Pelodiscus sinensis: one gene and its partners. Each later gene encodes a partner of the first gene's protein in a complex. Links are inferred from orthologs where the notes say so. Each region holds a gene or a part of one and is shown in the gene's direction. Other genes may lie near its edges.

Evidence for each region.
Region 2: the proteins of BRD1 (region 1) and KAT7 are in contact, whole or in part, in a crystal structure (PDB 5GK9), measured with the Homo sapiens proteins. The link is inferred for Pelodiscus sinensis from reciprocal best matches to the Homo sapiens genes BRD1 and KAT7. Residues at the interface, in XP_047297239.1 of Homo sapiens: Val40, Ile42, Glu43, Ile44, His49, Arg50, Ile51, Ser52, Ile53, Phe54, Asp55, Pro56, Leu57, Glu58, Ile59, Ile60, Leu61; in NP_008998.1 of Homo sapiens: Leu531, Phe534, Gly536, Lys537, Glu538, Ile539, Ser540, Ile541, Lys542, Pro552, Val553, Val556, Gln560, Leu565, Tyr567, Lys571, His572, Leu573, Val574, Leu575, Lys576.
Region 3: BRD1 (region 1) and KAT6B share a complex: the UniProt entries of both Homo sapiens proteins name them as parts of the MOZ/MORF complex. The link is inferred for Pelodiscus sinensis from reciprocal best matches to the Homo sapiens genes BRD1 and KAT6B.
Region 4: BRD1 (region 1) and MEAF6 share a complex: the UniProt entries of both Homo sapiens proteins name them as parts of the MOZ/MORF complex. The link is inferred for Pelodiscus sinensis from reciprocal best matches to the Homo sapiens genes BRD1 and MEAF6.

Annotation. Positions count from the first base shown.
Region 1 is NC_134711.1:34,679,475-34,686,465, reverse strand, and holds the start of BRD1 (bromodomain-containing protein 1), read left to right. Parts: upstream 1-3,972; 5' UTR 3,973-4,332; intron 4,333-6,991. UniProt on the Homo sapiens protein: Scaffold subunit of various histone acetyltransferase (HAT) complexes, such as the MOZ/MORF and HBO1 complexes, that acts as a regulator of hematopoiesis.
Region 2 is NC_134739.1:15,008,677-15,016,190, forward strand, and holds the start of KAT7 (histone acetyltransferase KAT7), read left to right. Parts: upstream 1-4,514; 5' UTR 4,515-4,528; coding exon 4,529-4,816; intron 4,817-7,146; coding exon 7,147-7,294; intron 7,295-7,514. UniProt on the Homo sapiens protein: Catalytic subunit of histone acetyltransferase HBO1 complexes, which specifically mediate acetylation of histone H3 at 'Lys-14' (H3K14ac), thereby regulating various processes, such as gene transcription, protein ubiquitination, immune regulation, stem cell pluripotent and self-renewal maintenance and embryonic development.
Region 3 is NC_134718.1:7,809,127-7,816,776, forward strand, and holds the start of KAT6B (histone acetyltransferase KAT6B), read left to right. Parts: upstream 1-4,643; 5' UTR 4,644-4,667; intron 4,668-4,860; exon of another isoform or gene 4,861-4,999; intron 5,000-5,680; exon of another isoform or gene 5,681-6,035; intron 6,036-6,127; exon of another isoform or gene 6,128-6,421; intron 6,422-7,650. UniProt on the Homo sapiens protein: Histone acetyltransferase which may be involved in both positive and negative regulation of transcription. Required for RUNX2-dependent transcriptional activation. May be involved in cerebral cortex development.
Region 4 is NC_134735.1:9,831,204-9,838,449, reverse strand, and holds the start of MEAF6 (chromatin modification-related protein MEAF6), read left to right. Parts: upstream 1-4,228; 5' UTR 4,229-4,328; coding exon 4,329-4,424; intron 4,425-7,246.

The DNA of each region.
Region 1 (6,991 bases):
AACTCTCTCCAATTGTTTTTCCTCATAGTCTTGCTTCTGATGGAATCTTACCTACTAGCTCTCTGAGCTTACTAAAATCTGCTTTCCTGAAATCCATTGTCTCTGTTTTGCTGTTCTTCCGTCTACTATTCCTTAGAATCATGAACTCTGATTTCATAATCATTTTCACCCATGCTGCCTTCCATTTTAACATTTTCAACTGGTTCCTCCCTATTTGTTCAAATCAAATCGAGAACAGCTTCCCTCCAATAGCTTTCTCAGCCTTCTGGAAAAAAAACAAAAACCAACCAACCAACCAAACCACCATCTCCAATGCATTCCAAGGACTTGTTGGATAATCATACCCTGCTGTATTAGTTTCCCCAACAGATGTCTGGACAGTTCAGGTCCCCCATCACCACCAAATCCTGTGCTTTGCATGATTTTGTTAGTTGTTTAAAAAAAAAGCCTTATCCACTTCTGCCTAGGTAGATGGTCTGTAGTAGACCCCAGCACGACATCCTTATTTTTTACCCCTCTTAGCTTAACCCAGAGACTCAACAAATCTGTCATGTGTGTCCGTCTCAACCTCAAGTGTATACATTTTTAACTATAAGGCAACACCTCCTCCCTTTTTTCCTTGCCTATCCTTCCTGAGCAAGCTGTACCTTTTTATACCAATATTCCAATCATGTTATCCCACCAAGTCTCTGTTCCCAACTATCTCATAGATGTGTTTATTTACTAGCACTTCACATTCTCCCTGCTTATTTCCTATACTTCTTGCTTTTGTATACAGGCATCTGAGGTACTGGTTTGTTTTTGCCCTCCATTTCTGCTTTGTCCCTCCTTTATCTCTGCTATTATATAGCCCATGCTCCCTCCCATTTCTGACTCATCTCCCAAGTCTCCATGTTTTTCACTCACCTGTGGCCTTTGGTCTCCTGCCCCCATTGAGCCTAGTTTAAAGTCCTCCACAGTAGGTTAGCCACTCTGTATCCAAATACTCTCTTCCCCTTCCTCAAAAGGTGAACCCCATCCCCTGACAGCACCCACTGCTCTTTAAAAGCATCCAATGGGTCAATAGATAACACTTGGAGATACTCTGCTCAGATGTGTGACTGAACAAAAGAACATTCCACAGTAACAGACCATCCTATCCTGAACATAGACTCAGAGGTAGGCAACTCTCTGACCTCCTTGCTGCCTTCCCTGGTTTTCTGTAGACTTCACACCATTAATTTGCTTATTCCTTCTTATGGTACTGTCTCTGTTAGTAAGTTGCTCAGGAGTTGCTTTCTCCATCTACCATACTCCACTGGTAGCCACTTTACCCTGCTGTTTACCAAGTCTTTTATTTTCCCAGCTGCTCTGGGACTGCCAATTAGCATTGGCAGGTAGTACCTGCATTAATTGTTTGGTTGCTGGACCAGGATGGTAAGTTTGCCCAGAAAAAAGGGGCCGATAAGATTTGACATGAAGGAATTTCTGTTTTCCCGGACATTATATTAAAGGAACATTCAATTAGCAATTTCAGAAAATATCACAACCAAGATTGCCCTGAAAGCTTAATTCAGTATTTGAAAACAATATGATTCAATATTTAATTACAAGTAATTGTGTAATTATTGTTACAACTAATAGTCCACAGAACCATAGCACATTTAGTGTACATGATAGTGTGTGGTGAATTTAACTATTGTCTGTAAAATTCTGTCCTTCTCTATTACAGGGGGACTATAAAAGGATAACAAAATGCTCTTGTGACAGCTGAATGTAGTGTGACCATATTTCCCAAAGGGAAAAAGGACATTCTCAGCCTCTCACCCAAGCCCTACCTATCCTGCATAGGCTACTGCCCAGATGCTGGAACACTGCTGGCCCTCTTCATGCTGCTCCCCCTCTGGTTGGGGCTGGCATCTCCACTCACCCATCCTCCTGTTCCTCCATACTGCTTCCCCCCCCACTTTTTTTTGACAAAAGTTGGTTTTGTCTTATTTGCTCTTGCCAGCTAATCAAGTCAGTAAGGCTGCGTCTAGACTGGCATGATTTTGCGCAAAAGCGTCTGCCTGTCTACACTGGCCGTGAGTATTTGCGCAAGAACACTGACTTTGTAATGTACAAAATCAGTGGTTCTTGCGCAAGTACTCTGACACTTCCACTCATGGATAAGTCCTCTTGCGCAAGAGGGCCAGTGTAGACAGCAACGTTAATTTCTTGCACAAGAAAGCCCGATGGCTAAAATGGCCATTGGAGCTTTCTTGCGCAAGAGAGCGTCTACACTGGCACGGATGCTTTTGTGCAAAAGCAAATCTTTTGTGCAAAGGCACATGCCAGTATAGACGCTCTCTTGTGCAAATAATTTTAACGGAAAAACTTTTCCGTTAAAAGTATTTGCGCAAAATCATGCCAGTCTAGACGCAGCCTAAGAGAAAACAGGGGAAATGCCCACTTTTACCAAAAAAGATGGGGTGGCTAGGACAGGACTTAAAAAAAGGGGACTGTCCCAGCCAAAATGGGAGCACTTTTGTGTGTATTTAACATGTATTACAGTTGTAACAGCAACCAGCAGCCAAACTACCTAATTGCTCTTATATAAACTAGGCCTAAGTATATTTTACCCACTCTTTTATATAATGTCTTTTTTCTACGTGCATAATTTTTAATGTGATATTGAGGTACTTAATGCCTCTGTTTCCCCAGGAATAACTTTATGGTTGAGAAAAGCCTATGGGTCCGTCTTACTCTGGAGCTGGAGAGAGCTATTGCTAGTTCTGTGCAGTGATCGCTAACGCAGGCAAAGCCTGTGTCAGTGTTGCCAACACACTTGATTTTTTATCACAACCCTAGTAATTCTGTGATGTTATTTTGTCTGTGTTATGACAACATGATGAAAAAAGCCAGCTCACAATTTTTCTTATTCAAAACTGCCGCTACCATTCCCTATTACTGTCAATTACGGGCTATTTCTCTCAATTCCATCTGCATGAGGTGACGCTTCTCTTCATAAAGTTAAAAAACCCGAATCCCTAAGATGCTGCAGGACCACTTCCTTTTTTGTTACACACAAACATGGCTACCCCTCCGAGACTTCATAAAATTGGTTGTCAACTCATACTGTTTTCAGTCATACTGAAGCCAGGCCCACAGGCAAAAAAAACTGCTATGCTACTAGGGACCTGAGGGCTAGAGAGGAGATAGGAACTGTGAGGAGCAGCAAAAACACTGTAAATCAGATGTGGAGAGTAAGGGGGAGCAAGAGGCACTTTTAGGGTTTGTAATGCTGCCAGGTTTTGTGGGGGGAGGAGATGGATGGAATAGCAGTTTACCTGCCTGGAGGTTAGTGGTGGGGGAGTCTGAAGCAGCTAGAGGAAAAAGTACAAGAGGAGCTGTTCTGATGATACAAAATATGCTTCTTTGCCTATTCCTCAACTTTCAGGGCTGGACATGTGGGCAGAGTTATGTGGGACAGTCTTGGAACTAGGGCCACAGACCTGCTTTGCCATGTCTATATGGTCTTAGAGCTGAGGGAATACTGGTAGGAGGCAATGGGGGGTCACATTATTGCTGTTAGAGTCCAGGTGCAAAAGTCCCAGCCCAGCTGCTGACAGAAAAATGTAGCTGCAGGGTCGAGGCAGGAATAGGAAATGCGGAGTTTGGCTCTACGTAGAGACCAGAGGGGAAGTTGAGGCTCCCCCAGCAGCCAGGCAGAGGTGGGCATTTTGTGTGTATTAAAGGGTGACTTTTCTACTTGTATTTTTCACACCTACAGGCACAGAGGAGAAGCCAAACTAAAGCAGACGCGGTGCTTAGCCTCCTCCGTTTCTTTTTAAGCCCATCGTACTTTCGGGGAGGTGGCCGACGGCTGGGGCGCCATGGAGATCGGCCATGGCCTGCCCGCCCGTGTCAGGCAGCGCCGCCCACTGCAACACAGGGCAGAGGGAGAGCGGAAAGGCCCCTCCCCCACGGCGGCGGGGCGGTGCCTGGGACTGGCGCTCCCACGTTCCGTCCCCCCGCCGGCGCTGCGCTGTGGTGAAGCCGCATTGTTTGTGCCGAGGGGGGAGGGGCGGTTCTCAGCCCTAGGACGGAGCCGAGCCCGCAGCCGGACTGCGACCAGCTCCGCGCCTCCCGAATGCGCCGCGCGCGCCTCGAGCAGGAGCCCCGCACCCGCCGCCGGCAGCCCGAAGGCAGCACGGCACCGCCAGCGCCCGCTGGGCCGCCCGGGGCTGCTGGGAACGGCACCAGGCAGCGGCATCGGTGGGGCCACCCCCGCCATTAGACCGGCCGCCGTGTCGACCCGGAACGAGGAGGAGGAGGAGGGTCTGTCAGCCGCGCTCCAGCGGCTCCCACGACGTGAGTGCGGCCGGGCGGCGCAGAGGGGCCGGCGGCTCGCGGCCAGAGCCGGGCCTAGCGAGCGCGGCTTGGTGGCGGGAGCGGGCGGAGGCGGCCCGGCACAGCGGGCGGGGGAGGGCGCAGCGCAAGCTGTTTTGTTGGACGCCATGTTTGTGGGCCGACAGTATTGTGGGGTGGGGGTGGGGCGAGGCTCGGGAAGGGTTGGAGCTGACGGGCCTGGGCAGGAACCATTCGCGCGGGGGTGACAGGCGCGGGCAGGAACCATTCGCGCGAGGGGCGTGCGTGTGGGTAGCGCGGTGACGGGCGTGGGCAGGAAGTGTTCGTGCTGGAACAGGGTGTGGGAGGGATAAGGGGCGTGGGGAGGAACCGTCCACTGCTTGTGCGTGGGGGGAGCTTGGGGAGGAAGCCGTTCGGGCCGAGCTCAGGGGAGAGGAGGAGCTAGTTTGGGGAATGGTGCCGGTTGTCTCCGGAGATGTTGGGGTTGATGATGTCAGGAGGGTTTGCCTGGTCCAGCCCAGGCCTATCACGGGTATTTTCACTTATGGAATGAAATAATTTCTTCAGGGGTCAGCCACTGGCTTCTCTGCGAATGAATATGGCTGGTGGTAATGGACTGTTTGCAGCATCCTTGGTAGTTTTTTCTCCATCTCTTTGCCATGGTCCACAGATGATGCATGTTGAGAGCCACGAATAAAGCAAGGTAGCAAAGGACCCAACACTGCATGTTTGCAGAAGGAATTGGCAGCCTTTACAAAGGTCTATTAGAGTGCTGCGCTGTAGGTTTAACCTGCTCTCCCCTCACCTGTCCCCTTACCATGCAGTGCTTCATCTACATAAATTGCATTTCACGTAAATAGCTGCATCTTCACATTTTTGTCATGAAAGCTACCTCAGCAAATTGTCATTCAAAAAAAAAAAGTTCTGTTTCCATCTTCTTTAGCCTTTGTGCTGCTTTTACAGGAGGAAAGAAGTACCCCAAACCTGAGCTGTGTAACACTTTATGAATTCTTTCTGTTTTATGGTAAATTTAGCAATCCTTATTGTACTTTAGGGTCTCAAGGCATTTTTAGTCACCCAAACTACAACTATACAAAATTAGGATAGATATTGTTAAAACTACTTCCACATGTAGCGTGCTCTCCCCTCCTGCATTCTTGTTTTCTTTTAAGAGGTTAAATGCTAAATTGTCATTTGTTTCCAGATTGGGCCAAAATTTAATCTAAATGTAAGAGAAGGTGCTTGAGAACGTACATGATAACTGTTCGAATCTCATTATTGGGAAGTGCTTTTTCATCACTTTGTGGCAGATGTCTTCCCTTATTTAGAATTTGTGACATTTGCACTAAGTCTGGGAGGAAAGCTGCTGGCGTTATGAGATACATGTTCCATGGTTGTCACTATGCTTGCAAAAAAGCAAACAGTTTCTCCTGAAAACTTATGTTATATGGTAGTGTCTTCTGTAGCAGGGGTTCTCCACCAGGAATCTGGGGCTCTCTTAGGGGCTGAAAGCAGATTCTGCCAAAATAAGCAATAGAGCGGGAACAACATTATATTGCTGGGACCAAGGAAAGAAAGCTGGAATTCGAATCCTGCTGCCCACAATTGAAGCTGAAGACAAAGCCTAAGCAACTTAGCTTCAAAAAGCCAACTGTGGGGTTGGCCCCACGCCATTGCATGGCTTGCTATCCTTTAGTACTATCCGGCTACGTCTACACTGGCCCCTTTTCCGGAAGGGGCATGTTAATTTCAGCTATCGTAATAGGGAAATCCGCGGGGGATTTAAATACCCCCCTCGGCATTTAAATAAAAATGTCCGCCGCTTTTTTCCGGCTTTTAGAAAAGCCGGAAAAGAGCATCTACACTGGCCCCGATCCTCCGGAAAAAGCGCCCTTTTCCGGAGGATCTTATTCAAAGTAGGAATAAGAGCCTCCGGAAAAGAGCGCTTTTTCCGGAGGATCGGGGCCAGTGTAGACCCTCTTTTCCGGCTTTTCTAAAAGCCGGAAAAAAGCGGCGGACATTTTTATTTAAATGCTGCGGGGGATATTTAAATCCCCCGCGGATTTCCCTATTACGATAGCTGAAATTAACATGCCCCTTCCGGAAAAGGAGCCAGTGTAGACGTAGCCTCCCTGGCTTTTCATTGACTAAATATGTAGAAAAATGGTTGTGGCACGGTTGAGCTGGTAAAATTTATATTCAGTCATAATAGCCACTGCCCCTCTTCTCCAATTTGAGGAAATAGACAGTAACCTCATTGATCAATGTCATTGTTGTTTGTAGGTGTGGTGATGGGGTATGTAAATATAAATGGGTGTATATAAAAATTATCTTTAGGTTAGAATAACATTAACACCAAGTAGTTATATGATAGATTATTGCAATTGATTTAAAAAAATCTATTCATTTATTGTGCTATTTATCATCATTATCCGATAAGACGAAACTAAACTTGTCAATTTCAGTGTCAGGTTCTCATGCACTAATGCATTTATAAATGGCTTTACTACCTTATAAGAAAACAAAGAAATATACATTTTATTGACATTTAGAGGGGACATTTTATTTTCCTTGTCCTTGAATTTTTTTAGATTAACCCTAAATTTAGTCCCCATAAACTGAATTGCCATTCTCTTTACCTGGACCTACTATAGCAAATATT
Region 2 (7,514 bases), on another chromosome or scaffold:
GATCAGCCCAATAAACTGGCTGTAATCATCATGGTTATGCATGTTGCATACAGAGCTCTGCTGCCATAACAACAAGATGCAACTATAACCACAATAAAATCCTGGCCATGTTAAATATGAAAAATTAATGTCTGATTGGTTATGAAATGCCCTTTGTTCTCCAGTCTACCACTTGTCTCTTGGGAGCAACAAGCAAATATAATACAGCCACTCCCCGACTTACAAACACACCGACTTACGACCAACATCCCATTAACCATATTATAATATTTTTGAGTTGAGAACCAAGTACGTCAAATTTTTCGAATAGCTCAGGCAGCATGTTTAAAGATATTTTCAACTTATTACCAAATCGAGTTACAAACGGGTTACAACCAGGTGTTCGGAATGTAAGTCGGGAAATGCCTGTATCAGGATCACAAAGCAATTTCCTAAGTAGTTTTAAAAATGCTGTTTAGCTTCACTGGCTATTAGCTTCTGCAAAGCAACTTAAAACAAGTCTTGTCACAGCATGATTGTCTATCCCATTTAGCCAATAGTTTGCTATCAGCACTGGTACTTCTACAGACCTATGTAATTTGACAAGATTTGCACATTTGCAAGAATTTAACTTAACATTCTACAAAAATCTTAAGTGTGCATCTTACAACTATGACTTAATAGAATTTCAGTCAGCTGTTACAGAACTTTTTAGCCAGACTCATCTCAAAACACATTACAAACTATAACTGATGTACAAGCTGTACAGAGAAATCCATCACCCACCAGTGAAATACAGCTACCACTGGGTGGGAAGTGGTAGTATTGATTAATGTGCAGAAACACTATTCAACAGTTTAGCAACGGCTTCTTTATCAGTTTGAATCTGAAAAAGGATTTGAGCAAGGTAGAATAACACTGCTCACATTAGACCAAAACACTAGTTCACACTTTAGCAAAAGTGAAAAGTACAATTCTTAAATTTCTAAAAATGATGATCAAAACGTTCTTTTAGACTCCATAATCCATCTTCAAATACATCAAATCTCAATATTACAAAAGGGCATCCAGCTAAGGCCAGATGAGTACCCAGGAGTCATGAGTACTCAGGAAAGACCCAACAAGGAAAACAACAGAACACCACTGGTTGTCACCAATAGCCCCCACTAAAACCCCTCAAACACATCATTGATCATTTACAACCTATCCTTAAAAAACAAAACAACAACAACAAAAAAACATTCCTCACTCTCACAGACCTTGGGAGACAGGCCTGACCTCACCTACAGACAGCCCCCCCCCCCCAACCTGAAACAAATACTCACCAGCAGCCACACACCACAGAAACACTTACCCAAGAACCTATCCCTGCAACAAACCCCATTGCCAACTTTGCCCACATATCTATACAAGCGACACCATCACAGGACTTAACCACATCATCAGGAGCTCATCCATCGGCACATCCACTTATGGGATCAATGCCATCATGTGCTAGCAATGCCCCTCTGCTGTGTATATTGACCAAACCGGACAGGCTCTGTGCCAAAGAATAAATGAACACAAAACAAATATCAAAAGTTAACATATATAAACCTCTAGTAGGAGAACACTTCAACCTCCCTGGACAGTCAGTAATGAGTTTTAAAGTAGCCATCCTTCTAAAAAAAGCTTCCAAATGAGATTACAAAGAGAAACAGCAGAACTGCTATTCATTTGCAAATTCAAAACAGTCAAATTAGGACTGAATAAGGATTTAAATTGCCTTTGTAATATGTAGTGAGGTAACCAATTTTCCTTCTTGGTAATTCACACCTCCTCCTCAGCTTCTATGCGTGAACCACATCCACCCTGACATAATTGGCCTCATTAACACTATTCCTACACTTGATAAGTAACTTCCTTCATACATATATCTCTATCCCTACCTCTGTTATTTCCACTCCAATTCATCTGATGAAGTGGGTTTTACTAACAAAAGCTTATGCTCAGATAAATCTGTTAGTCTAAGGTGCCACGGAATGCCACACTATTTTTAAGATTGTAAAACCCTCCAAACATCAGCCATCATGATTCATTTGGGGTGGAAGAGGTCACAGAACACTAGAACTGGAAGGGACCTCGAGAGATCTTCAAGTCCAGTCCCCTGCCCTCACAGCAGGATCCAGTACCATCTAGACCATCCCTGATAGGTGTCTTTCTAACCTGCTCTTCAATATCTCCAGAGATGAAGATTCCACAACCTCACAAGGCAACTCATTCAAGTGTTTAACTACCCTGACAGTTAGGAAGTTTTTCCTAATGTCCAACCTAAATCTTCCTCCCTTGCTGCAGTTTAAGCCAATTGCTTCTTGTCCTATCCTCAGAGGCCAAGGAGAACAATTTTTCCTCCCTGCTCCTTGTGACAGATACCTGAAAATTGCTATCATGTCCCCTCTTAGTCTTCTCCATTCCAAACTAAAGAAGCCCAATTCTTTCAGTCTTCCTTTATAGCTCATGTTCTCTAGACCTTTAATCATTCTTGTTGCTCTTCTTTAGACCTTCTCTAATTTCTCCACATCTTTCTTGAAATGTGTTACCCAGAACTGGACACAATACTCCAATTGAGGCCTAATCAGCGCAAAGTATAGCAGAAACAACCTTAAATTTTGTAAGGTTTAGGATTTGAAGTAGATAGGTAACTCATCAGCACTAGAACAGGGAAAGCATTTAGGTCTTGTCTATGCTAGAAAGTATTTTCTATTACAGTTATACCAGCATGACCTGCAGTGGAGGTGTAATGCACATAGCTCATACCATAGGTTCCCCCAAAAATGAGCTAAACAAGTAATATGACCTTTTTTACCCTTACATAACTGTCTACAGTAAGGCTTTGGCTTTATTGACATCTCATAACACTGTGGGAGGTTTTTTAAAAGAACTTTGAGTTCTTTGTACCCCTATATGATGCTAATGAAATCTCACCTCCAGATCAGCTACCAGAAGTGGGCCTCATCCTCCTTGATTGGATCCACCTCATCATCTCCAGCCTGATTCTGGCCTGCATATTTATATCTGCCTCTGGAAATTTACACTACATGCATCTGACGAAGTGGGTCTTTGCCCACGAAAGCTTATGCTCCAACACTTCAGTTAGTCTATAAGGTGCCACAGGACTCCTCGCCTCATGTGCAACAGTGTTATCAAGTATTATTACAGGGATAATCAGCTAAAAAGACATTGCAAGTTTTATCTGTTTTCCCATACCTATTAGAAATCTGTTGAACTGAGTGGGAAATGAAGAAATTACAATTTTTTAAAAATCTAACTCCTCCTCTCCCCCTATTTCTTTTACTCTCGTTATTCATGGCAGGCACTCATTCACTGCTTCTCAGGTTTGCAACATAATAAAGTAATAAATGAATAATTGTTCATATCGATTTTACTTACTCCATTAGGCATATTATAAAAATTAATAGGTTATACCTAAAATCCATAGAGGATGTTTATTACCCTCATTTGAAAGATGGGGAAACAGAGAGGTAGAATGCTCAAGGGACTGTCTCACAGAATCTCAAGGGCAGAGTAAGGAACAGCAGTGTGTGAAAGTAATCGCGGAGAGAGCAGGATTCTGTTCATTTGTTGAAGTGTAGGAGCATAAGCTTTTGTGGGCAAAGAAAGCTTATGCTCCTACACTTCAGTTAGTCTATAAGGTGCCACAGGACTCCTCGTCGCTTTTGCACATTCAGACTAACACGGCTACCCCTGTGATACTTGTTCATTTGTTGTTTCACAATTAAATTAATGGAGATTGCCTATCTCCTAGAACTGGAAGGGACCTTGCAAGGTCATTGAGTCCAGCTCCCTTCCTTCACAGCAGGACCAAGTACCATCCCTGACAAACTTTTGCCTCAAATCCCTAAGTGGCCTCCGCAAGGATTGAACTCACAGCCCTGGGTTTAGCAGGCCAAAGCTCAAGCCAGGAACTATCCCTGCCCCACAATGGTACCCTAAACCGTCGTGACGGGTCCCATTCTCCCCAGCGACTTCCCCGCCCCTGCCCGGGCGGAGCCTAGGGAGCGCGGAGCCGGGAGCGGTGTATTGGGGCAGTGGGTGCTGCTGTGGGGCGCTCAGGGCCCCCCGCCCCCAGCGAGGCGCACGCACAAACCACCCCCCCACGCCACGCTCGCCAGGCGCCTGCCCCGGGCCGGCCTGCAGCAGCCAGGGAGGAATCCCCACGGGCCGGCTCGAGAGCGGTACCCGAGCCCCGCCTGCCCGATACTCACCAGCCAGGGGCTCTACTGACAGCATCCAAGATGGCGGGCCCCGGCCTCAGAGGCCGGCCCCGACCCATCCCAGCCCTCAGGCCTCCTAGGGAAACGGCGCCTCCGCCTCCCCCGGGCCCTTCCCACGCTTTGACGCTACGGAGGTGTCCCCCTCCCCACCTCCTTCGCGCCCTGAACCAAGATGGCGGGCCGGCCCCCCGGGCAATGCCAGCGCCCACATCCAAGATGGCCGCCGCCAGCTTCGTCGCCCACCGCGCCTGGCTCCCTACCTGTCCGAATCCAAGATGGCGGCGGCCGCTGGCGTGAGGCGCGATCCGAGTCACGTGACGAGGGGGGGGTGTGGAGCGTGTCCCGGCGGAAGCGTGAGGGACCAAGCTGGGAACGGGCTCTGCTGGCGGCGCAGGAGCGGCCTGGCGCGCGGCGACCGTCAGCGGGGTAGAGCGAGAGACACGGCTGTCACCACGGAGCCCAGCGGTGCGAACGCGGCGGCCACCGCCGCGTCCCGGGCCGGGGGCACTGGAGACCAAGCGCCTTCGCTGCCCCCGCCCCCACCGCGGATGCCGCGCAGGAAGGTGAGTGCCGGGCGGGGCAGGGGGGTAGGTCTGCTTTGTCCTTGTCTCCCTCCCCTCCCCCAACAGGCCCCCACAGCCGTGAAAACCGAGTGAAAATAGCGGCCTTCTGCCCCCTGCTCCCGCCCATCTTGCTACCTGAATGGTTCCCCAGTAGGGACTGCTGAGCACCGATTGGTTACGGCGGCTATCACTCATCGCCTCAACGGTTGCCTTCTCCCCCTCCCCCTCATCTGGGGCATGGTCAACCTTCTTGACTTTCTGATTGGACACCGATTTGGAGCTCTGGTCGTTGATTGGCTGAGCCTTGCGGTACTGCTGGGCGGTGATTGGACATGCTGTCTGCCCGTCTCCGCCCCCTGCGGTCGCCTCCCCACGCGTGCCTTGTTTCCCCAGTTCGCTCTCCCTTCCCTCCCATTCAGGCTGCCCTCCCTGAGTGGCTGTTTCTGGTGCCGCCAGGGGCACGCTGATAGGCCGGCGTCTCCCATCAGTCACGCCCTGGGGCCGGGCCTCTTTTCTCACGGACGTTTCTATTGGAGAAGCTTCCGGTCCGCCCCGCCTCTCTTCGGCCGCGATTGGTTGGACCAGGCGGGGGCGCGCGCCGGAGCGAGCGGTAGTAACGCGGCGGGTGCAAAACAGAACGGGCCGCCGGGTGCGGAGGGGCGCGTCGCTGCTTTGCTGGGGGCGGGGCGCGCGCCCGATTTCTCACCGCCCCCCCCCAGCCGGGATTGTCCCGTCAGCGCCCCCCTTTGCCTCCCTCCCCCCCCCGGTCCCTGGTGTCCAAACGGTGCTGGAGCAGCAGCTGCTGAATCTCACTAGCCAGGCTCCACTGGCCAAATCGCCACATGTAGCTAGTGGCTGGAGCACCCCGACCCTGGACCGCCTCGCCCTCCCCACGCGGGACCGCCTCGCCCTCCCCCCGCCCTCCCCACGCGGGACCGCCTCGCCCTCCCCCCGCCGCCCCACGCGGGACTGCCTTGCTCTTCCCCCAGACTCTTCTCTCTAGTGTCCCGTTGTGTTGGGCTGCATTAACCCTCCCACGCCCCCCCCCCCCCATGCCTCAGCTCTCCCGCTACATGTCTCTCTGCCATCTTCCTTCAGGCTGCCTTATTTCTCCTCAAATATTTCCTGATAACGCCACACCACACAACACACACACTGTGGGCTGCTTTAGTGTTCCTGCTATACCACTTGCCTCGGACTGTGTTAGTTCACCCCTCTCCCTAATGCCCCTCTAGATCACACAACTATGGACTGCCAAACTCGCCCTTGATGGATTTCCTCAGGTGTCCCTTATCCCCTCAAATTCCCCTGGGCTCCCTCACCTTCCTCCTCTCCAAACTCGCTGGCTACGTCTAGACTGGCATGATTTTCTGCAAATGCTTTTAACGGAAAAGTTTTTTGCAGAAAAGCAACCATGCCAATCTAGACGGTTTTGTGCAAGAAAGCCCCGATCACCATTTTTGTGATCAGGGCTCTTTTGCTCAAAACAATACTGCGTTGTCTACACTGGCCCTCTTGCGCAAAAGCATTTGCGCAAGAGGGCTTTTGCCCGAATGGGAGCAACATAGTATTTCCGCAAGAACACTGACAATCTTACATGAGATCGTCAGTGTTCTTGCACAAATTCAAGCAGCCAGTGTAGTCAGCTGGCAAGTTAGCTGCTTTTGCGGAAAAACTTGCCAGTCTAGACGCAGCTGCTGTGTATAGGAGCATCTAGAAGATTCAGGATGATGCACTTGTATTTGTGAACCTGCCATCGCATGAAATCCTGCAGATTCAATCAATCCAACTCTGGAACACAAACCCTGCCCCAGTGGGATAAGGGAATGGTCATTTGATCATGGCATGTGTAGACCTGGGCTCCTGTCTTCCCTGCTGCTAACTCTGCTAGTGCTTGCACATCACTAGTATGCATTGGGTCTTGGCTCTGCTTTTTCACTTTCTTTCAAGAGCATCCTTTCAGAGGTAAAAGGGAAGCTCTGCTACGTATGTGTAGTGGTTTAGTGAGCACTCTGGAATGAGAGTAGTCTGTGTGGTACCTTTTGTGTTAAATTAGCAAGTGTCGGAATTGCTTGAAACTTCAGGTATGATCTTCATAAATGAAATTGGTGCTATCTGTAGATTTTCTAGATTTTGACCAGTTTGCAAAAATTCTGAATTGTGGATGGTGCTGTCTGATATCTCATGTTTATTGTATTAAAGCAAGTTCCAAAGCAAACTACCTGAGTGTCATTAGTTTTTTGGGGGTGGGAGAGGAGGGAGTATTGAATATTTAGTATTATAAGAATGGAAGTGCTCCTGTGCTAATGTTTGGGTCTGTGGTGTTACAGAGGAATGCAGGCAGTAGTTCAGATGGAACCGAAGACTCCGATTTCTCTACAGATCCTGAGCACACGGACAGCTCTGAAAGCGATGGCACATCTCGACGATCCGCCCGCGTGACCCGTTCCTCAGCCAGGCTCAGTCAGAGCTCTCAGGGTAAATACCTTTCTTCCTAGCCTCACCAGACACAACTGGCTGGCCAGTCACAATATCCTTGGCTTGTTAATACTTAAAGGAATTTTAGTGAATCTATACCTTTAGTTTAGTTAATCTCATTCATTATTTTCTCTCATTGAACACAAATGTGCCAGGGAAAGAAACAAAGGCATTGCAAGGATGCATTGCATAAAATAGGTTGTTCAGTCTAATGATTAAA
Region 3 (7,650 bases), on another chromosome or scaffold:
TCTGGAGCTAACGTTGTGTCAGCATTTCTGCTGTAAACCCTTCATTTAAGGGATTTAGAAAGAAAATACAAGAACTAAATGAGGCATCAGCAGGTGATTATTTTATACTACCATTTTGTTATTTAAGACTAATCGCTGAACGAGTGAGTACAGCACAGGCCCAGAATATATGGTCATAAATATTTTACTATATATATTTGTTACTATTTATTAATTGTATGAGGTGAAACCTAAAGGCAGGGATCAGGGTTCCATAGTGCTAGTGTGTATATAATAAAGCATACCATGTACAGTATTCTCATACATAAGACAAGGAACATAAAATTCACCTGGAAAGGGATTGGCTCACATATATGGACCACTCTTTCAGGTTCAGTTACAATGAATGTAAGAGCTACAGAAGACAGAGGTGAGATGAAGAAGGGATGAGTTATTACCAGGCCAGAAAGAAATCTGCGTGGGAGCTCAAGACCACAGCGGGAGCCGCAGCTTTGCTGTTGAACTTGAGCAACGAAGCAGGCCAGAAAAAGAGATGTAGCTGCAGAATTTGTGTACCTGACATGTCTATGGAGACACTTAAAAGTGGACAGAGAGATAGCTTACTGATCTTTTCATATTTGTTCATTTTTTTAATTGTATCCTTTGGTATATATGGTTGTGACTACTTTCTTCCACTATTTGATCTGAGGAAGTGGGTCTGGCCCACGAAAGCTCATCATCTAATAAACCATCTTGTTAGTCTTTAAAGTGCTACATTGTCCTGCATTTTGATCTTTTGCAGGTATCTTTATCCCCAACAAGGCCACTACAGCTAATGATCATTACACAATAACTCTTGAGTGACATTGTGGCTGAATTTGTCAATGGGGCTTTTGCTATTTACTTAATTGGGGTCTGGATTTTACCCCTTAACCTTTCCAAAGGAGATAATTTAGGGCCCATTATTAAAATGATGGAACCCCTGGTTTTTTTTTCTAAATTCATAAAAATAAAGGACAATAATGACTCCAAGGAAGAGAAATACCCTCAGAGAAGGACATGCCCTTTGCAAATGAGCAGCATGTGTATTTAGATGAGAGTGCCCTCAAATTTCTGAGCTGATGCGAATTGGTTAGCCCTTAGCTGATGTGTATTGGTTTGTCACAAATAAGGAGGTTTAAAGGGAAGGTTCAAACTTCAGCCTCTTGTTTCTCTGGTTCCCTAAGCCCTGTTACATAGATGGTTACAAATCCCTCCTCTTGTAACTACACTGATCTTAATGGAATTACACCGTGGATTAGATTTACATATGGGAATAACTTTACACTCAGGAGTAGCCCCTACATAGATTGTAGAATCAAGCCCCAATGTATTATTATTGTTTGTATAACGCCCAACCTATAATTCCCAGACAGGTAGGAACACAAGTAGTGCTTCTGCTTAAGCACTGAGCTCAAACTGCTATATCCTTGTGAAGATAATACTTCAGCCAGAAGGCTTGGTTTTCAGAAGTGCTAAACATCCACAACTCCGACGGAAGTATGTGGCAGCACTTCTCAAAATCAGGCACTACATCCTTATTTACACTGGCTTGCATCCACAAAGTGGGTAACGTGTCTGGATTTCTGCACGAACCCTAAAGACATACAGTCCATCAGACATGTAGATGTATGCAAACAAATGTGTCTAGCAGCACACATGTGAAGGTCTATCTGTATTTTCCTACTGAAAAACAAAAGTATTAGGCTTATCATAATTAAGGGAAGGAAATTGGCATGGAATGATGAATTGGACCATAATATTCCCTTGTAGATTCAGGTGCAGTAGTGTGCTTTTGATCTTGGAAAGTACTTGAGGCTCTGAGGCACATGCGGGGATCACATAGCACATTTCTACCTGAGATGTCTAGACATCTTTCAGAACTTACGAGCATCATTTGGTATTGTAACTCATTAGTGTTAATAATTATAAGAGATGGGGGAAGGAGGTGGGGCAATAGCTTTTATTGGACCAACTTTGTCAGTCAAAAAGACAAGTTTTCAAGCGCTTCTTCTCTGTGCAACTCAAAAGTTTGTCTCTTTCACCCTCAGAAGTTGTTCCAATCAAAGTTATTACCTCACCTACCTTGTCTCTCTCATATCTGTTTGAACCAGCAATAACAGTACTGCAGATAGTAGTCATAGGCATATAAATCCATCACAGTTTGGGTACATCTGCACTTGCTCCCTAGTTCGAGCTAGGGATGCAAATGTAGGCGACCGAAATTGCTAATGAAGCAATGCTGGCATGTTACTCAACAGCTGATTTGAAAGTGAAAGTGCGTGCTGGGACGCGTTAGTTCGAACCAAATCCCAGGGCTCTAAAATATCACAAATCAGAAGCCTTATAACATAGTCCGAAATGACTTTCTGATATAGATGTAGTAAACCTACATCTCTTTCTGATCTCAATCCAATACATGAGCATCTACTAGTGGGGAAAGACCTTGATTTATTGGAACAGATTATTTCCTATCCACTTTCTAATGGCAGATGTCTTTTCTTTTTTCCTCTCCCGTAGAGAGTTTTGAACTTCACAAAACCTAAGAGAGTCTGTGATTACAGGATACCTGTGGGCAGCATTTCATCCACAGGGTGTGGAAAGGGAAGTCAGTGGGCCTACTTGTGTGAGTAACATCAAGCATTTCCATGGGCGGCTGGTAAAGGTAGGGTTGGAGGAGGCAAAACCTCAACCTAGCCCCTTTTGCCTAGGCCACACACCCCCATCACAGGGAGGCTGGGCGGCACGTGACCTGAGCCTACCCAGCCCGGAACACAGAGAGGGCAGATGGCTCCAACCTTTCTGACCCCAGAGCACGGAGTGGCCGGGCACTGGGGGCAGCAACACTCTGACCCCAGTATGCCTCCAGCAGGCGTTCTGGGGGCAGAGTGTGGGCGGGGCCAGGGTAGCAGCTGGGAAGGCAATGCCCTCCCCTGCCTAGTGTATCAGCCGCCCATGAGCATGTGTGCGTTTCCAGGATCAACTCCCAGATTGGGTATCTACAACAGGGAGGATCTTTTCAAAAAGATGCTGGAGTAAACTTACATGCCTCGGTAGCATGCGCTGGGGAGAAAGTTATGTTCTATTATTAGACTACTAGAAGATTTACCCTGTGTTGCTCGGATCCTTAAATCAATTAATTTTTTGGGAAAATAAAATGGACATGTACATACTTCATTTAAACTATTGTTCTGGGGTGAGGCTTGAGATGAGTATGCAGGCTGCCTGGAAGAGAGAGGACTACTCCAGCATGGAGCAGACGTGTCTGGGGATGGGGAGCAGCCGCCCCTCCGCTTCCCCAGCACAGAGGTGCCCCAGCTGGAAGGGAGGCACAGTCCTCTGCCGGCTGAGAACAGAGTTGCCTGCCCGCCCTGAGCCCTCTTTCAACATTCGCTCAGTTACGTCAGTTTTGAGGACTGTACTTGATTTAGTGATCCTGTCTCTTTTCGGTTTGGTTTTAAGAGAAGCCAATCCCATTCCAGGCACATCCATTTTCCTGGAACAACCAAACTCTGACATTGCTTTAAGTTACGATAAGAGGCATACTGAATTTGGTGGGTCTAGTTCTTACCGTGTAGGAGGTGTTCTTGAACAAACAAACAGACAAACTCAAACAGATAGTAGATAGTGAAGTGTGATGTTTGCTCACTATACGTGAGCAAACATCTGAAAGTATGAGAGCTTTGACCTGATGTCTGGCTCTTGCTAACGTCACTCAGGACGGCAGCATGAAGGAGCTGGTGAGAAGTGGGACTTGACACAAGTGTAGCCTTCCTAGAACACCAATACATGTAGAATCAGGACACCTAGTTCCCTAAAATAAGTCTGTATAGTAATCTCACCGGATAAGCATCACAGGGGAGGAAATATTCACCATTTGCTCATTTCTTCCCTGTCCCATTGGCGATTATGACAGACTTGCCCAGAGTGGGGAAAGAGGGGTTCAGGAGGATCTCTCATTATGGACGAAGCAATTTAAATCATTTTATGATATAGGAATCTGCAGTCTCCCTGTGTGTCTTTTTTCCCATTCCAATGTTTTAAATTTCCAAATATTTATTTTTCAAATGATTCATTTAAAACATCTCAGAAGCTTGAGAACCCTGCAGAATACTTTTAAATCAGGTAAGATATTTATAACTATGTTCTACCACTTCCCAATCCAACCAAAACACCCCAAAACATACCCCTCCCCTACCCGGTCTGTAACCCAGACCTAACCAGACTGGCACTGATGATCAGAAACCACCAATCCCTCCAACCTTCCTTAATTTTTTTCCTCCTTTTTTGAAAAAGCCCTATTTCCTACTTTCCAGCAGCAGACAGAAAAGTGGGGAGGGAACCTCATCTGTCACAGTCTATGCAGATTAACCTTTCAATTAGCTGTTCTCAGGTTCTGTGTCTTAGCACCAGCGCTCCAATCTGCGTCCATTTAGCATCAGGAAGGCTTGAGGTTTAGGGTGGTTTTTTAAAATTAATAATAGTCATTATTTGTTTTAATGTTTTCCCTTTGCTTCCCCACATCCTGACAGGAACGGTTGCAACCCATTTTTGTATGTATGATCTCACTCCCACCCCTCTTTTTTTTTGGTGTGTGTGTGTATGTGTGTGTAAGAAGAGGAGCCCTACAGAGGAGGAGGGGAGACAAGGTATTCTCTCTATATTATTCTTTTTTTTTTTCTTTTGCAAAGGGGTTTAGAAAAGGTAACTGATGCAATCAATCCGTTAACTTGGGATTCCCCCCCACCCCTTCCTTGTCTGTCTTTCCTGGCTGCGTTTCCTCACTGTGTATGTGTGAGGGGGAGGTTGTGTTGTTGTTGTGTTCCTGGCTCTGGTTGCAGCCAGGAGAGAGGAGAGAGAGAGAGAGAAGCGGCGATCGCGTTTCAGGGGCAGCACATTCCGCAGGAACCGCTGCTGCAGAAACACACACAGCCAGAGAAAGGAGGTCATTGCAAGCCAAGGGGGGAAACCTGCACCGGAGGTTAGACTCGTAGGAGTTTATGGGCCGGGGGGGGGGTGGTAACAGGGAGCATGCGATGGATTTTGTTTTGCATTAGGTGACAGGCTGCAATTTACCATAATAACCCTCTTCCCCTCCTCTCTGTGCAAGGGGCTTGTCACTTTTTTTCCCTCCCCCGTTTTTTTTTTTTTTTTTTTTTTTTGCATTGGAGGCTGATGCACGTGTTTGCAGACACTTGTGCTCGGCAAAGCATTGCAGCGTCCCCGTGCATGTTGCAGAGGAGGGGATGGCTGGGGTGGGTGGGGGAGGGAAGGCAAGGGGGAGGGGGGCTGGCTGGCTTTTTGTGTGTTGCATGCGCCCACCCTAGCCTCCTCCGCAGAAGGGGTGACAGGGAAGTCCTGGTGCTTTGCATGGGGAAACTTGTAGGGACCGGCATGTGGCGTGGGAGCTGGGAGTCATTGTCACCCCCCCCCCCCCCGCCCCGCGGCCCCTCCATGCGCGCTGAGCCGCTGCTAGTGCCAGGCACCTCGGGAGGGTGATGCTGAGAACACGCAGGGTCCATCTCGCCCGCCCGCACGAGTGGCAAGATCCGCGGCACGCGCGTGAAGCTCCGTATTTAAGGCTGCGTATTAATGTGTGTCGCGCGCCCGCCCTGAAGTATTGGCTCGGCGGCCGTCGCTTGTGTCTCTTGCCAGCACTCACCTCTCGAACAAACTTCAGGAGCAGGCGGCGACGGGGAGGGGGAAGGGGCGGGAAGCAGGCGGGATTGACGGGCGCGGCAGCCAATAGGAGGGCGACGTTGCGAGATTCCTCGCCCCCACTCGTAATCTGCTGCCAATCGCTAGAGTTCAAGGCTGGGCCAGGGGGTAGCCGGGTCCCCGCGGGTGTTTGGCGGCGGCAGCGGCCAATGGCTGTCCACGGGGCCTCCCCCTTGGCAGATGGGCGGGGCTCCTCATAGCGGCGGAGGGAGTGTCCCGTGATTGGCACGCCCCGCCCTCCAATGGGGAGCCTGGCTGGCCGCTGGGCGGGGCGCGCCGCTCCTGCGGTCGGCCGATGGACAGCGGGGGCGGCCAATGAGCGCGGCGCGGCGCGGCCCAATGCCGAGCGGCGGTGGGCGGGGCTTGCGCCGGAGGGCGGAGTCTGTGTGTGTGGTGGGGGGGGGGAGGGTAGGTAAGGTTTTAATGAGACTCCATTGGGCTGTAATCAGTGTCATGTCGGATTCACGTTAACTACAACAGGGTGAAACAAAATGGCGGCGGCTTAGGTGAGCCCAGCAAGCGCCGCCGCCGCAGCAGGGCGGGGGGAGCCAGCCGCAGCAGCAGGGGCGGCAGCTGCCTCAGCCTCGCAGCAGCAGCAGCAGGGGGAAGAGCCAGCAGCAGGGGGAGCAGCCGCAGCCGCACCTGGAGGTGGCTCCTCCCCTTCCCAGCCCTGATCCCCGCCGAGGTGAGTGGTACCCTGAGCGGGGGAGGGGCGCGCTGTCCCCACAGCATCCCTCCCCCAGGGCAGGGGGGGGCAGGTCTCTCACCCAGGCACCGCCTCGTGAGGGGGCAGCCCACGGGGATGCTGCCCTCCCCGCCCAGCCTGCTAACGTGCAGGAAAACGGGGGCGAGGGGGGGCTGCCTGCCTGAAGAGGGGTCTCTTTTAAAATGATGCTCCCTTTCCCCACTAACAGCCCCCCTCCCCGTGATAGCTGAGACGTGCCAGTCAAGTCCTTCCCCCCCCTTGGCTGCCCCAATATTGCGAATTTCAAAATGCTGCCTTGGAAACACTTGGTTTCCAACGCGTCCCCGCTCAGAACTTGCTCGTGGAGAATTTCATATTCCCCTCCCTCCCCCCCCCCCTCCACAAACTTTGCCTTTCAATCACGCCCAGCCCCTCAAAAATAGGTCTCCAACAAAAGCAGCCACCCCAGACCAGCCCTGGAGTCGGAATAGCCACTCCTCGCAGTCACTGATGACTTCAGATCACTGTCATGGTAGTAACACCTTCAGTGCTTTTAAAAATGAGGGGAGGTAGGGGAAGAAGGTGGGAAGGACAAACGTTCAGTTTTGTTGCTGTCATGTGGTGGTGGTGGTGGTGCTAGGGTGGTGCTTGTTGCTGTCATGATGTTGTTGCTGATTTAATATGTGATCTTAAGCTGGTTTGTGGGATATTGCAGCATACAAACACTTCATCAGGTCCTGGTTTACACTTGCTGCTTTCCAAGAAATTAAATAATCCCTTGATTTATTCCTTGCAGCGAAACTTACGAATGCCTCTCCCTTTGCAGTTAGCTAAGGTTTATGCAAGTACCAGTTCATTCACTTGTCATAACTAAAGGTATATACTGTGTGAAGAGAAATGAAATCACTGGCTCCATGATCTGAATAATTTTAATTTAAAGAGTGTTATATGCACTGAGAGTTCCTCTGACTTTTTTTCTTTAGTGGTTGTATTTATTTTGAGAAGGAAACCCATGTCTTGAATCTTTAATTGAGCAGCTAGAGGAAGGAATTAGAATTGATGGGCTGCATAATTCAAAATAATAGGCTGGATGAAAGGAGTGTGGCCAAGAGAGTTTGTTTAATGCAATGGCAGTTTTGTCGTCTTTCTCCACTCCTGCTGCAATCCTTACCTGACCCTGATGCTGCAGCAGAGAGCTGGCCTGCTGCTCCTGCTTCTGCTGTCTGTGA
Region 4 (7,246 bases), on another chromosome or scaffold:
AGATCAGTGTTTCTCAACCAGTAGTACAAGTACCCTTAGGGGTACTTTAGAGAAGTCTGGGGGGTACATCAATACAACTAAAATTTGGAGAAAACTTGATTTTTTGTTTTAAGTTTTACAGCCCTTTATTGTTTTTGTACTTTATACACTGAAAAATGTCATCACCCGCCCGGCTACGATTAAGTTGTTTAAAAAATGTGTTGGAATGGTAGAAAAAAATTGTGTCTGAAAACTGTAGGTACTGAGAGTCCTTTTTTTTAAGGGGGTACTTAATTTTTTTAAAGGGGTATTTTATTAAAAAAAAGGCTGAGAAACACTGCTGTAGATTACTAGATCCAATGGTTATCTTCTGAGGAAGTGGGTCTGGCCCACAAAAGCTCATCACCTAATAAACCATCTCGTTAGTCTTTAAAGTGCTACATAGTCCTGTCTTTTGTTTCAACTAGACCAGACTAATATGGCTGCATCTCTATCACTATTCTAATGACCCTGATTGATCTATGTAACAGGACAAGCTATGAAAGAAGTCATTGACCGGTCTACTGACAGTTGTACTGATGTAACTATGTTGGGTGGGGATGTGATTTATTTTTAAATGTTAACTGTTATACTAGTGCAAACTGTGGATGCAGTTATTCCCCTTCCTGTAGAAATAGCTATATAGAGATTCAGAGGGGTAGCTGAGCTAGTCTTTAACACGAAAAACTTAAAAAACAACAAATAGTCTAGTAGCACCTTAAAGACTAACAAAACATGTAGATGGTATCATGAGCGTTTGTGGGCAAAATTCACTTCAGTATAACAAGTCCTCCGGTCATCTGAAGAAGTGGGTTTTGCCCACGAAAACTCATGATACCATCGACATGTTTTGTTAGTCTTTAAGGTGCTATCGGACTATTTGTTGTTTTTTAAGTTTATATGAAGATTGTTCATCTTTACAATCACAATTGCATCCACACTAGAGGGGTGTACTGATTTTATCGCTTCAGTACTAGGCAATTTACTTGGCGTTGCCCGGGTCCTTACCTCAATTAATTTTTGTTTTTTTGGAAAATAAAATTGAAATGTGTGTGCTTCATTTAAATCATCGCTCTGGCATGGGGCTGGGGACGAGGGGTTCAGTACGCAGATGGCCCAAGGAGAGCGAGGAATATCCTAGCCCTTTCTCACTGCAGCTGCTTGGAGCTGGGTAAGAAGCACCTCCCCATGGCCACTGCAGCTCCAGTGAATAGAGCTGGGAGAGGGGTGCAGGTCTTCCCCCTGGGGCAGGTCCAGGTTCATCTGCCCCCTGTACTCTCCAGCCAGAGTGAGGAATATAGCAAACTGTGCACTTTCCTCTGGTTATCTGACAAATGGAAATGACCAGCAATGTCCCTGTATAAAAGAGGTAGGGGTGGAGAGCTTCGCCCCCTCACCCACTCTACCTGAAGGGCACCTGGGAGATGGAAGACTTGGGGCTGAGGCAGACCTGCTGGGTGGGGAGGTGGAAGGGGTGCAAGTCCCCCCATCCAGCCCCTTTCACCTTCCTGGTGATTGTCTCTCTTCTGTATGGTTTTATGAGAAGCAATCCCATTCCAGGCACATCCCATTTTTCTGGCACAAGAGGAAGCTGTATACCAAATTTGGTGGTCCTAGCTCTTACCTTTTAGGAGGACTTCTTGAACAAACAGACAAACTCTCTCAAATATATAGTAGATTAGAAGACTTACCCAGTGTTGCCCAAGTCCTTCAGGGCAGGAGGCCTGAGGTCTGCAGAATATAGGAAGGTCGCCAGGGACTCTCCCTCCCCTGTGGCGAGGTGGCCTGCCAGGGGCTCCCTCCTCCCGGGGCTTGCCCTTCCCCCTCTCCCTTCCTGGGGCAAAAAGGGGCTGGCAGGGACTGTCTTCTGTGCATGGGGGCCCCATTTACCCCGTTGGGTGGTAGGCAAGATGGTGACCCCTTTTCTCACTGGCCGCTCTCAAGGTGATACAGCTGCCCAGTTTCTCTGTACTATTGATCCTCTGTGCTCCCTGCCTTCCGTGAGTATAGCATCTCTCCAAACAGCCCTTCCCTTTCTGGAAAAGTCCTATTCTCTATAATTCTCATTTTCCTGGCACAACCAAACTCTGACCTTGCTTTAAGTTAGGAAAAGAGGAAGCTGCCTACCAAATTTGATGGCCTTAGCTCTTACCATTTAGGACTTCTTGAACAAACAGACTCACAGACAGATGCATACAGTATTTCTAAAATATATACACAGCTAACACAGTGCAACTTTTCAGTGCAGACAGGGCCTTATTGGCACTCCTGTGTGTCACATAGTTTAATTCTTATGCTAATGGTCTAAACAGGGATCCTGGATGGCTCTCAAACTATCTTCCACCTTTTAATAACTTAACCAACCAACGGAGGTGCTAATGGTTCTTAACTGACTCCTGTAACTACTTGAACTATCTACTCACCATCTACATGTTTTGCTAATCTTTGAAGTGCTACTAGAATAATTGTTGTTTAAGTTTTATCTACTCATATCTCTCTTTTTCTTCCTCCCCTGCCCTTTTTCTCTCCCCCCTGCCCTCCCACCTTCCCTTTTCTTATTTATCCTTGGATCTGGACTCATTATACTCCAGTCATCTGAAGAAGTGGGTTTTGCCATGAAAGCTCATGATACCATCTACATGTTTTGTTTGTTTTTAAAGTGCTACTAGACTATTTGTTGTTTTTTAAGTTTTTACATACTTTATTAGCTGGTGTCAGTAACTTGAATCTTCAGCAAAAATGGAGCAAATGAAAAATGGATGTAGCTTTAGTATTTCTAAATCTTCAGGAAAGCAAGTGGTATTGCATAGAAGTCAGAGAAGAAGGTTCATGTTTCATATGCAGCAGGAGCAGAGCCATTACAAGCTACAGTATGTTTCAAGGGAACAATGAAGGACATTACACACTTCTAAATAAACTTATTTTAAAAACTCAAGAACATTCTGATCTCTCCAAGAATGTTCCTTAGGAGGTACGTTTTCTTTACAAGAAACTTACTGCCAGGAAGAAAAAGCTGATCATTTTGCCAAACAAAATCATGTGAGTTTGCATAGTTAGTAGCCAGGGCTAATTAAAAACAAGCTTATTTGGAGTACACCTGATAAGATTACTGGAAGGTCAGGAGATGAACCTGACTCCAGAGAACAGTGAGTATTGACTTGGCTAATAACAATAGCTTCCTCTAGGAAAATATTAAACAGTGAAAATACGGAAGGGTGTCCAATTCAAAATAAAAACTAAGGGCTTGTTCAGAGGTGAATGGGATATTGGGGGGGACTGAGGATGGGGTCTTAGTGCTTCTCTGGGAAAAGGTTGGATGAGGGCACCAGAGGCTGCCTGAGGGGAGGGCTCTGTGTGCAGTGTGGATAGGATGGGTGGCTCTGAGTGGGGGTGCTATGTGTACATGGTAGATGAGGTGCAGAATGAATGGGTGTCCTAGTGGTGGAGGGGCTCTGGGTAGATGGACATGAGGGTAGGGATGATGTGGATGGCGTGTGTGGGGGATGCTGAATAGGATGCCAAAAGGGACTCTGCAGGGTAGATGGGGAGGGCGGTGAGGGGGTCCCTGGGCTGCAAGGGAGGGTCCCCGGGCGGTGGGGGGGATAGTGGCGGGGGGCCCCTGGGCAGTGAGGGGGGGGCTCGGCGGTGACTGGGGGTCCCCGGGCGGTGAGGGGGGGCTCGGTGGTGAGGGGGTCCCCGGGCGGTGAGGGGGGGTCCCTCGGGCTGTGAGGGGGTCCCTGGGTGGTGGGGGGGATAGTGGCGGGGGGCCCCTGGGCGGTGAGGGGGGGCTCGGCGGTGAGGGGGTCCCCAGGCTGTGAGGGGGGGCTCGGCGGTGAGGGGGTCCCCGGGCGGTGAGGGGGGGGGTCCCTCGGGCTGTGAGGGGGTCCCCGGGCGGTGAGGGGGGGGTCCCTCGGGCGGTGAGGGGGTCCCCGGGCTGTGAGCGGGGGCTCGGCGGTGGGGGGGGTCCCTTGGGCTGTGCGGGGGGGTCCCTCGGGCGGTGAGGGGGGGTCCCCGGGCTGTGAGGGGGGGTCCCTCGGGCGGTGGGGGGGGGTCCCTCGGGCGGTGAGGGGGTCCCCGGGCTGTGAGGGGGGGTCCCTCGGGCGGTGAGGGGGGGTCCCTCGGGCGGTGGGGGGGATAGTGGCGGGGGGCCCCTGGGCGGTGGGGGGGCTCGGCGGTGAGGGGGTCCCCGGGCGGTGCCGGGCGCGGGGGGTCCCGAGGCGGGCGGGTCTCAGCGCTGCCCCCGGCGGACCCGGCCGGCAGCGCACGCGGCTCCCGCCCCCTCCCGGCCGCTCCCGCCCGCCGCAGCCATCATGGCGGCGCTGCACACCAAGGCCGGGGGCCCCCCCCAGATCCCCGACACCCGCCGCGAGCTGGCCGAGCTGGTGAAGCGCAAGCAGGAGCTGGCGGTGAGGGGCGGGGAGCGCGGCCCGACCCCCCCCCCCGGCCCGTCCGCCCGGGCCGCGACAGGCCGCGCCCGGGAGCCGGCTAGGCCGCGACTCCCCCCCCCCGCCCTGCGCAGCCTCGGGTCCCACCCCCTGGGGGCACCGGCCCTGGGGGGCAGAGAGGATGGGGGGCTGGGGAATGGGGGGTACTAGCTCTGGGAGGGAGAGGGTGGGGGCTGGGGAATGGGGGGTACTAGCTCTGGGAGGGAGAGAGGATGGGGGCTGGGGAATGGGGGGTACTAGCTCTGGGAGGGAGAGGATGGGGGCTGGAGAATGGGGGGTACTAGCTCTGGGAGGAGAGAGGATGGGGGGCTGGGGAATGGGGGGTACTAGCTCTGGGAGGGAGAGGATGGGGGCTGGGGAATGGGGGGGTACTAGCTCTGGGAGGGAGAGGATGGGGGCTGGTGAATGGGGGGGTACTAGCTCTGGGAGGGAGAGGATGGGGGCTGGGGAATGGGGGGTACTAGCTCTGGGAGGGAGAGAGGATGGGGGGCTGGGGAATGGGGGGTACTAGCTCTGGGAGGGAGACGATGGGGGGCTGGGGAATGGGGGGTACTGGCTCTGGGAGGAGAGGGGCTGGGGAATGGGGGGTACTAGCTCTGGGAGGGAGAGGATGGGGGGCTGGGGAATGGGGGGTACTAGCTCTGGGAGGGAGAGGATGGGGGCTGGGGAATGGGGGGTACTAGCTCTAGGAGGGAGAGGATGGGGGCTGGAGAATGGGGGGTACTAGCTCTGGGAGGGAGAGGATGGGGGGCTGGGGAATGGGGGGTACTAGCTCTGGGAGGGAGAGGATGGGGGGCTGGGGAATGGGGGGTACTAGCTCTGGGAGGGAGAGGATGGGGGCTGGGGAATGGGGGGTACTAGCTCTGGGAGGGAGAGGATGGGGGCCTGGGGAATGGGGGGGTACTAGCTCTAGGAGGGAGAGGATGGGGAATGGGGGGTACTAGCTCTGTGAGGGAGAGGATGGGGGCTGGGGAATGGGGGGTACTAGCTCTGGGAGGGAGAGGATGGGGGGCTGGGGAATGGGGGGTACTAGCTCTAGGAGGGAGAGGATGGGGGGCTGGGGAATGGGGGGTACTAGCTCTGGGAGGGAGAGGATGGGGGGCTGGGGAATGGGGGGGTACTAGCTCTGGGAGGGAGAGGGTGGGGGCTGGGGAATGGGGGGTACTAGCTCTGGGAGGGAGAGAGGATGGGGGCTGGGGAATGGGGGGTACTAGCTCTGGGAGGGAGAGGATGGGGGCTGGAGAATGGGGGGTACTAGCTCTGGGAGGAGAGAGGATGGGGGGCTGGGGAATGGGGGGTACTAGCTCTGGGAGGGAGAGGATGGGGGCTGGGGAATGGGGGGGTACTAGCTCTGGGAGGGAGAGGATGGGGGCTGGTGAATGGGGGGGTACTAGCTCTGGGAGGGAGAGGATGGGGGCTGGGGAATGGGGGGTACTAGCTCTGGGAGGGAGAGAGGATGGGGGGCTGGGGAATGGGGGGTACTAGCTCTGGGAGGGAGACGATGGGGGGCTGGGGAATGGGGGGTACTGGCTCTGGGAGGAGAGGGGCTGGGGAATGGGGGGTACTAGCTCTGGGAGGGAGAGGATGGGGGGCTGGGGAATGGGGGGTACTAGCTCTGGGAGGGAGAGGATGGGGGCTGGGGAATGGGGGGTACTAGCTCTAGGAGGGAGAGGATGGGGGCTGGAGAATGGGGGGTACTAGCTCTGGGAGGGAGAGGATGGGGGGCTGGGGAATGGGGGGTACTAGCTCTGGGAGGGAGAGGATGGGGGGCTGGGGAATGGGGGGTACTAGCTCTGGGAGGGAGAGGATGGGGGCTGGGGAATGGGGGGTACTAGCTCTGGGAGGGAGAGGATGGGGGCCTGGGGAATGGGGGGGTACTAGCTCTAGGAGGGAGAGGATGGGGAATGGGGGGTACTAGCTCTGTGAGGGAGAGGATGGGGGCTGGGGAATGGGGGGTACTAGCTCTGGGAGGGAGAGGATGGGGGGCTGGGGAATGGGGGGTACTAGCTCTAGGAGGGAGAGGATGGGGGGCTGGGGAATGGGGGGTACTAGCTCTGGGAGGGAGAGGATGGGGGGCTGGGGAATGGGGGGGTACTAGCTCTGGGAGGGAGAGGATGGGGGCTGGGAATGGGGGGGTACTAGCTCTGGGAGGGAGAGGATGGGGGCTGGGAATGGGGGGGTACTAGCTCTGGGAGGGAGAGGATGGGGGCTGGGGAATGGGGGGTACTAGCTCTGGGAGGGAGAGAGGATGGGGGGCTGGGGAATGGGGGGTACTAGCTCTGGGAGGGAGAGGATGGGGGGCTGGGGAATGGGGGGTACTGGCTCTGGGAGGAGAGGGGCTGGGGAATGGGGGGTACTAGCTCTGGGAGGGAGAGGATGGGGGGCTGGGGAATGGGGGTACTAGCTCTGGGAGGAGAGAGGATGGGGGGCTGGGGAATGGGGGGGTACTAGCTCTGGGAGGAGAGAGGATGGGGGGCTGGGGAATGGGGGGTACTAGCTCTGGGAGGGAGAGGATGGGGGGCTGGGGAATGGGGGGTACTAGCTCTGGGAGGAGAGAGGATGGGGGCTGGGGAATGGGGGGTACTAGCTCTGGGAGGAGAGAGGATGGGGGGCTGGGGAATGGGGGGGTACTAGCTCTGGTAGGAGAGAGGATGGGGGCTGGGGAATGGGGGGTCCTAGCTCTGGGAGGAGAGAGGATGGGGGGCTGGGGAATGGGGGGTACTAGCTCTGGGAGGGAGAGAGGATGGGGGGCTGGAGAATGGGGAGTACTAGCTCTGGGGGAT